Linked DNA regions of Struthio camelus. The protein of the gene in region 1 purifies or fractionates together with the protein of each later gene. This does not show direct contact. Links are inferred from orthologs where the notes say so. Each region holds a gene or a part of one and is shown on either strand. Other genes may lie near its edges.

What was found.
Region 2: the proteins of RETREG1 (region 1) and MAP1LC3A purify together in Homo sapiens (affinity purification with western blotting; 3 studies listed by BioGRID and IntAct, with this or other methods). This does not show direct contact. The link is inferred for Struthio camelus from reciprocal best matches to the Homo sapiens genes RETREG1 and MAP1LC3A.

The regions. Positions count from the first base shown.
Region 1 is NC_090943.1:83,882,678-83,886,589, reverse strand, and holds the start of RETREG1 (reticulophagy regulator 1), read left to right. Parts: upstream 1-1,751; 5' UTR 1,752-1,943; coding exon 1,944-1,978; intron 1,979-3,912. UniProt on the Homo sapiens protein: Endoplasmic reticulum (ER)-anchored autophagy regulator which mediates ER delivery into lysosomes through sequestration into autophagosomes.
Region 2 is NC_090959.1:3,829,233-3,833,144, forward strand, and holds the start of MAP1LC3A (microtubule-associated proteins 1A/1B light chain 3A), read left to right. Parts: upstream 1-1,064; 5' UTR 1,065-1,205; coding exon 1,206-1,245; intron 1,246-3,912. UniProt on the Homo sapiens protein: Ubiquitin-like modifier involved in formation of autophagosomal vacuoles (autophagosomes). While LC3s are involved in elongation of the phagophore membrane, the GABARAP/GATE-16 subfamily is essential for a later stage in autophagosome maturation.

The DNA.
Region 1 (3,912 bases):
GTATAAGACTGTATTTCAATGCATATCTACAAACAAGAGAAATTAAAGTTTCATAGGGAGCTTCATTTTGCTTTCTTTCATTTTTGATGCTGCATTTAAATGTAGCATTTTTGTGTGCTGATTCCAGTGATTTGTTTTGTTTTTTTTTTTCCTAATTGGATGGACTTTAATATGAAAATGAAGCTATCAGACGTCATTTTATTAATGAAAATTCTGGAACTGAGCAGTCTCACTGTTGCGTGTGCACGCACGCACATGTCCTGTGTTTGTGTGTGTGTATATATATACACATATATTGCCATGCATAATTTACGCATAAGGATTTAATCATACTGGACTTGAGGAGAACAGAAAGGAGGAAGAAGAAAAACATGAATAAACTATTACAGGAGAGACATGGGATATGGAAGATTGAATAGGATGAAAAAAGAACCAGCTGGCATATTGGGAGAAGAAGAGAAGTCATCTTTCTGCAGATGCCCAACCTTCCTTTTTTGTTCCCTTTTCTCACAATGTGCTGAGACCCTTTTATTGTTTTCCGATTCAGATACTTGCACAGTAAATGTAAACCATGCAGTTTGGAGTAATAAATCTATGATTATGGTGTATGGGTAATTTTGGCAATTTTAATCTAGATCTTTTCATTTGAAAGTGTTTTATATTAAAATAAGAAAAAGAGATAGAATAATTTGTAATTTTTAAAGCCAAGCAGCTTTCCAGTGAATGCTGTATTACCTGCAATGCACCAAATATAGCTTACCAAACTGGGCTGGTTGTTTTTAATCTGCCATATCTTTTGCTCCAGCGTTTTTTGTTTGTTGGATTAAAATGTGACATTCTCAGGACAATTCCTTCTATCTCGTGTAGGAGAAACAGGTCTGAATCTTGCTGGGTTTCCTTCTAGAAAAAAGGATTTTTATATGAAGATCTCTGGACATAATGAAAATATGGCGTATGTGGTGCTTGGAGTCTTGGGCTGCGCTACCAAGCTTCACCAGCACAGATAAGGTTGCTCAAGGTGTGGAAAATTAATACAAATGTGGCTGGTGTAGCTCAAGTGGCAGGATCCCCATCACGTATGCAGCAAGCAGTGGTAGGAGGCTGATTTTGCCAATTCACCATAGGTTATTCAAGGAAGTGGTAGAAATATTTTGGCGAAAACCCTCCTGCTATCAGCATGCTTTCGTTTAGCCTAGGGCTTTGCCAGTTCAATTTGCTGGCGCACCTAAGAAAGCTGAGACCGCTTGTGGCAGACGAGGTTGGGATTGACGCTTTCAAATAATGCAGTTAGTCTTCATTGGAGATTTGTGTTCCTATTCTGTATTTTTGAAAAGTTGCTAAGTTTTTATTTTATGTGTGAATTTAGTCAGTGGAACATAATTCAGCTCCTGACAGCTTGTGGCTGACACCTTGTGGGAAGTAAAAAGTGGATATGTTTACAGTTACAATAAGCACTTACTTATTTTCCAGATGTGTTGCTTTAAAGTCCCGTGATCTCTAGCTTCCTATCATTTTGGTGTGTGCTCACTTACTTACACCTGACAAAATGGGAGACGTGGAGGAAGAATTCCAGTGGAAGCAGAAAAATAAAATGTAATAGCTGTGTGGTGATTCTGTCTCACATGACTGAAAGAAAAAATGTTTTGCTTTTGGCCGTGCTTGCTGCTAAATACCCTGTCATAGTGCGTGAGGTGACTCACGACTTGTTTATTTATAGCAGCGGCCAATCAAAGCTGAACCCTCTGAACTTCATTCAAGACAAGCAGACGCTTAGGATGTGTTGTAAACATTTGCTTTCTGAGCAAGGAGCACTTTTCTGGGGAGCAAACAAAACAGGTTCCTCGGTTGTTGCTTCTGAAACACACAAGAGACTAGAAGATCTTTGCCTGGATCATCTAGATTGGTAAAGAGAGAGATACTTTTATTTTTTTTTAACATCTGAAATGCCAGACAGTGAGGATCTGGGACAAGATGAAAGGTACCGTAAATTGATTCTGATGGCCTTTTCATACAGAACTGTGTAAACCAAAGCTTTGTGTGATTAGTCTATACGAGCTCCTGAGTTCTCATCCTGAATCTAACATCAGTTTGTTCTGCATTTTAACAGATCATCTAATTCTTGGGCGGTTGCCTCTGAAAGTGATCTAAGGCTTTTTAGATCAGAGAAGTGTTAGACCTTAATGTCTGCTTAGAGATGAAGCTGTACAGCTCTTACACAATTTTTAAAATAAAGCTGAACAGGACGAAATCCTGGATGATTTCTACCAAGTAACTTTTCCTGAACAGGAGACACCTTACAAGCCTCAAAATGTCAGAGAGACAAAAAACTTATGTGGAGCCACATAATGAAGGATCCAAAAGTCATTACTGTCCCTCTGAAGTATGCCTGTCTTCTTCATGTGTATTTTTTATCTTAATTCGCTTATAAAAACAGCAGACAGGAAAAGAAGAAAGTGGCTGGATCTAAAACTTAACAGCAATTTAAGAAGTAAGGTTTTTCTCAAATGTGTTCTTATATGTTTTCTCAAACAGCACATTCCTGTGGAAATAAATGCACTAATTAAATTTAAGTACATATATATTTTAAAAGCAGATGTTACTGATGTTTGTCTATGGCAGAGTTTATAGTTTGGGTTTCTTAAAGTCCAAATGTCTTCCCATATTTAAGATTTTCACTGTTTCGATACTAATTCATAAGTTGGCTCCACAACGTGTTAAGGAAATACTTGATTTTACAAAACCTCTGCTTTATGGAACAGAAGATTGTCGTGTATGTGGAAGCTCAGAGGTTAATTTAAAAACAAACGAATACACACACAGAAATGCCAGTGTATACAGGCAAATTTAAAAAATTACAAGAATCAGAAGTTAACATTTGGTTATGGCTTGGCATTTGAATTCTTCTAGTTACATTTAAATTTGTCTGAGGTGGATGTTTTTCCAGTGGGCGTATCAGTGTGTTGTTGTAAGAAGTACAGAAAACACTTTTCTGGTTGTCTCTTGTAGGTCAGTATGTTCAGACACGATCACCTAGTTGGATATGTGTGGGTGAATGGGTCCCCAGTGGCATAACTGGGTCTCTGCATGGGTGGGGTTCACCTACACATTTCCTGGGTATTTACTGGGACTTTAAATGATGGCCTTTATATGATAGATTAGAAGTAATTTGAGCAGTAGGTGACACTTTTTTTTTCTAACGGAATATTGATTGGTTATTGATAGCCACTGAACTGGTAATTGCTTTCCATGATCAACTGTTTAGCAGGAACTCCTGTTTGTTAAACTGCATATTTTTCAGCACAGAAAAACAGTGGTATGTGTGATGCATTAAAAAAGAGATTTCTCATTATAATCGATTTTTTTTTCTTTTGAATCAAATGTATAAAGGATATGCCTTTCTGTGGAAATGAGATTTTCTTTAATCAAATACAAGATGGAAAAAAAGTCTTACCAGCTGTGGAAAATAATACCATAATTTGGATTTTGAAATAAAATTAACGTGCTGTTTACTAGCATGCAAAAGTAATTAAATTGCCATGCAAAAGGCATGAGCTTCCTAATGCCTAAATTCCTTTGTTCACATGTCTGTCTTTATAAAGACTTGTAACAAGCTTTGCCAATTGAATAAAGGTAACACTGCAAGCCCAAACCTCTAAGACTTCTTATTTTATACATCAGAGCCTTTTTATTAATCAAAAAAGGGTAAATGCTTCTAAAGCAGTAACTCAAAACGGCATAAGAGGGCCTGCTGTTGCTGTTTGTCATTTCTGAAACTCCCATTAAATTAATTGGCCCTGATCCTAGTCCCTAATCCTTTTGTGCCTTTCCTATTGAGCAAAAAGTTTTGAGGAAGTAGTCCAGTCAAAAAGTTCAGATTTTTCCGGATTGAGTTTGCCTTTTTGTCTCATTGGT
Region 2 (3,912 bases), on another chromosome or scaffold:
AAATTATTTCCCTTTGGGATAAACTCTACAAGGGGGAAAAAATGTTAGAGTCTAGTTAACTTTTCCTTTTAATTGGCGACACTTTTAATAATTGGAGCAGTTGGTCGGTTTGTTTGTTTTTTTTTAAATAGATGCGAACTTTCATGTCTCCTTTTACCAAACGCGTACGTATCCATTAACGTTTTGAGGTCGCCCAGGTTCCATGCTGATTCACTGAAGCGTTGCATCAGCATAGTCCAGCTTTTGTCGCAGCCCATCTGGAGGAACATTAAACACGGCTCCTTGTGCAACGTTGTCATTCTATTTCTGTTGTTTTTTATTTTATTTACGGTAGCTCTAGAAATAGCCTGCCCTACTTGTAGTTGTGCTGTGGGCTTTAAAACATTCAGCATAGAAGCTGCTTTAAACGCAAGACGGAAGAGACTGAGAGGCTCGTTAGGCGAGAAACGATGGAGGCAGCCGCGTGTATGGCAAGTATCCGAGCGGTACAGGTAAGCCTGGTTTACTGCGGAGGGTCACGGATGCGGCCTGCGCGCCTGGCCGCGCGGTGATCCGCCTGCCTCCAGCCTCGCTGCCGGAACCGACAGTACCGTTTGGGATATACTTGAGACGGGATCTTCGAGACTGCCTGGACGTGCCGGGCCTGGCGCTCGCCCCGCTCCCCGGGAGCCGGCCGGAGCGAGGCCCGCGGGCTGCCTGCTCGCTGTCGGCGGGGCACGGCCTTCCTGTCAGCTGCAGAGCACCGGTGCTATTTATAGAGCTAGGAGCCACTGCGGCAGCTGTGTGCTGATTCAGAGGGGAAAATTCCTTCTGCGAGGGGCGGAAGCCGCCTCCAACCTCTGCGGCGAGCGTGAGCGCTGGAAAGCCGCGTGGGGAAAGGGCCTCCATCACCTGAAGGTAATTAGGGGGAAAACAGAAGGAAAGGACGACGTCCGGCCTGCTAGCGGTCGGGCGCTCCTCTCCCCTCAGCCTCTTCCCTTCCGCGCGGAGGCGCCTGCCCGTCCTCGTGACCCCACCCCCGACGCGGCGGCCATCTTCCCGCGGCCCCGCCCCCGCCCGGGCGGGGGCCGGCCGCTGTCGGCCAAACACCGCCTCTTCGCGCCTCCCCTTTAAGGAGCGTTGTGGTGACGTCACCCGGCCGGCTGCGGCTCCCGCTCGAGCGCAGGCCGGGCCGCCGCCGCGCGCCAGACGCCGCCGCCGCCGCCATGCCCTCGGACCGGCCCTTCAAACAGCGCCGCACCTTCGGTGAGCCGGGGCCGGGGGGCCGCGGCCGGGCTCGGGCTCCCCTCCCCTCCCCTCCCCTCCCTCCGCGGCGGGCGCCGGCCGCAGCCCCCGAGCAGCCGGAGCCGGAGGCTGCCCCGCGGCCCTGCGGGGGGCGGCGGCCGGCGGCGCCGCAGCCGCGCGCTGATGTAATGCCGGCCGGGAGCCGGGGGGGCGGCGGCGGCCGTTGGCTTTAACGGCTGCTTTTTGACGGGCCGCCGGCCCTCCAAGCCCGCTTCGCGGGAAGGAGCTGGAGCCTCGGCCTGGGCGTTCCCGGTGCCTGCGCACGGGAAACCGGAGCGCGGCTCGGAGGCGACACGAGCGGGTCGTGTGTCCGTGCCCTTAGCAGTCACCGCGGGGGGGGGACGAGGAGGAGGGAGCCCCTGAGCTCAGGCCTGTGCGAGCGCCGGGAGCGTTCAAGTGCAGAAGTAATAAGCGCCCTGGGGACCTGTGACATCCGTGCCGTAGCCAGGGGCGCGGGCGCCAGAGCTGCTCTGAGCTGGGGGACTGTAGCGCGCAGGTAGGTCTGAGCTGTAACGGTGGCATCCGACTGGCCTCGGAGGCCTGGGGGAGCCTTGCTGCTTGTGTGTCAGCAAAGCCTTTGGGGCCGGGCTTGCGAAGTCCCGTGCGAGATGCTTGTGCGCTGAACGCACAGCCGCGTACGTAAACGACCGGGATGTATTTATAATGACACGCATGTAGTGTCTGCCGCAGGAATGCGGTTATGAACCCGGGAAGGTAACCAAATCGCCTACTTACTTTTTATAGGCCCTTCTGAACATATGTCATTCTGAATAGCTAGCCTCCAAAGGATAAATGCTGTTGCTTTTTATCAAAATATTCGTATCCTTGTCTTATATCACCTTTTGTTGTTGTACTTGACTAGGGAGATACTTGCTGAATAAGCCCCCATGTTTAAAGCATGAAATAATACATTGCTCCAGAGTAAGCGTCATCCCAAGGGTAGCTGCTGTAAGTGAGGGCAAGAAATGTGTCTTTTGCACCTGGCTGAGTCATCAGCCTCCTGTGTGACTTTTTTTGTGTCTCCATTGGAAGAAGTGGGGTAACTAACGACCGTTTTAGAATGGGCTTTAAAGTCTACAGAAAAGAGTAGTAGTCAAAAGCTAAATGTTCTTGTTTCATGTTTGCCCTGGGTCCTGTCTTTAAACTTGTGACTGTCAGAGAACAGTAATCTCTTCAGAAATTACTCTCCCTGTTCCCTATCCGGTTAGCGTTAGAGTCGTTATTGTTCCGAGGGCTTGATACACCTCTTAAATTTTCTGAGTCTTAAGAAAACTCAAATGCTGAGACCATACCCATTACTGTGTTGAAGTGTACTTCGTGGGAAAACTCAAATGACAAAAAGGTTTCCGTAAATGGTACCAGCTTTGATTGCCAAACTTGATAGTGAAATCAGATGAACGTGGACTTCTGTTTCCCTTGACCTTTTCCAGCTGGCATTGGGAAACATGCATGTTTCTGTTGGATTAATTCTGAGGGGTGGGAGGGGAGTATCAGTTGAGCATTGCTGTCTGAATAATGCCAAAGTCAATGTCTTCAGGCCAAATAAGGCCGCCTTCTGTGTCAGATACTGCCCAAACAAAGGTGAGGGTGTTTTCTCTGTGAATTTAAAAATTGGAGTTTTTTCCTACTGAACTGTGGATCCAACCCCTTGCTGCACTCTTGGAAACTGTAAATATTTGTTAATTTATTATCACGACCCTTCTGGCCTTAAAACACTTCCCCAGCCTTCCCATGCTGCAGCAACCAATCCAAGCAAATGTGCACAAACAGGAATAACATGAACTCTGGGTACCCTGGGATACTTTTTTGGGTCCCTGCTGTATCTTGTATTTTCTTAAGCTGTATATTAAAAGCCAATAAAGTTCTGAATTAAACCCTTAGCAGCTACTTACTCTTAAACTGGTGAGAGCCAGCTTCTTATGGCCAGAGTTTGGTTTCCCCTTTGCAAATTGCTCAGCTTTTCTACAAGCCAAAGGAAAACAAAATCCAAGGCTCAGAGGAGGTGAAAGCAAGCAGGATTAAAATAGCTCAGAAGGGACAGGGTGGGGGATGAGGGAGTTTGGTGCTGGCAACTGCAAGTGCTCCTTGTTTCTGTGTACTTTCCTCTGCCCTTTTGCTCTCTCAGCTGACTGGTTTGCAGAATTCTCCCAGGGGGAGGGGAAGGAGGAGGCGGCAGAGGCCTGGCAGCCCACGCAGTTGCTTTGGGTCAGGGCTGGAATTGCTCGGCTGGAGAAAGTAAATACATCTTGTTTTCGTCTTCAAATCATTACACAACAGGAGCAGGAAGTGATTGTTTACAATGCAGTTGGAGAGAACTGATGGAAAATACCTCCAGCTACACTGTATATTCAGAATGGCTTAATTTTTAAGGCTTCAAAACTACAGAAGTGGAACAGTTCCAAAAAAACGGAGAAAAGGCAGAGTCAGGAGTATGACTGTTTACAAAAACTGTTCTGGCTCCAGTTGCATGGCAAATGGCTTGCTTGGATCTTGGTCTTGTTTTGCCGCCCATTCCTGAAGATTCCACTTTCCTCAATGCCTGTTTCCCCCTTCTTGTATATTAGAGACTGAGATTTATTTTTCTATGATTTTCTTCTGCTTGTTGCTCTGCTTGCTGTGGGGTCTGTT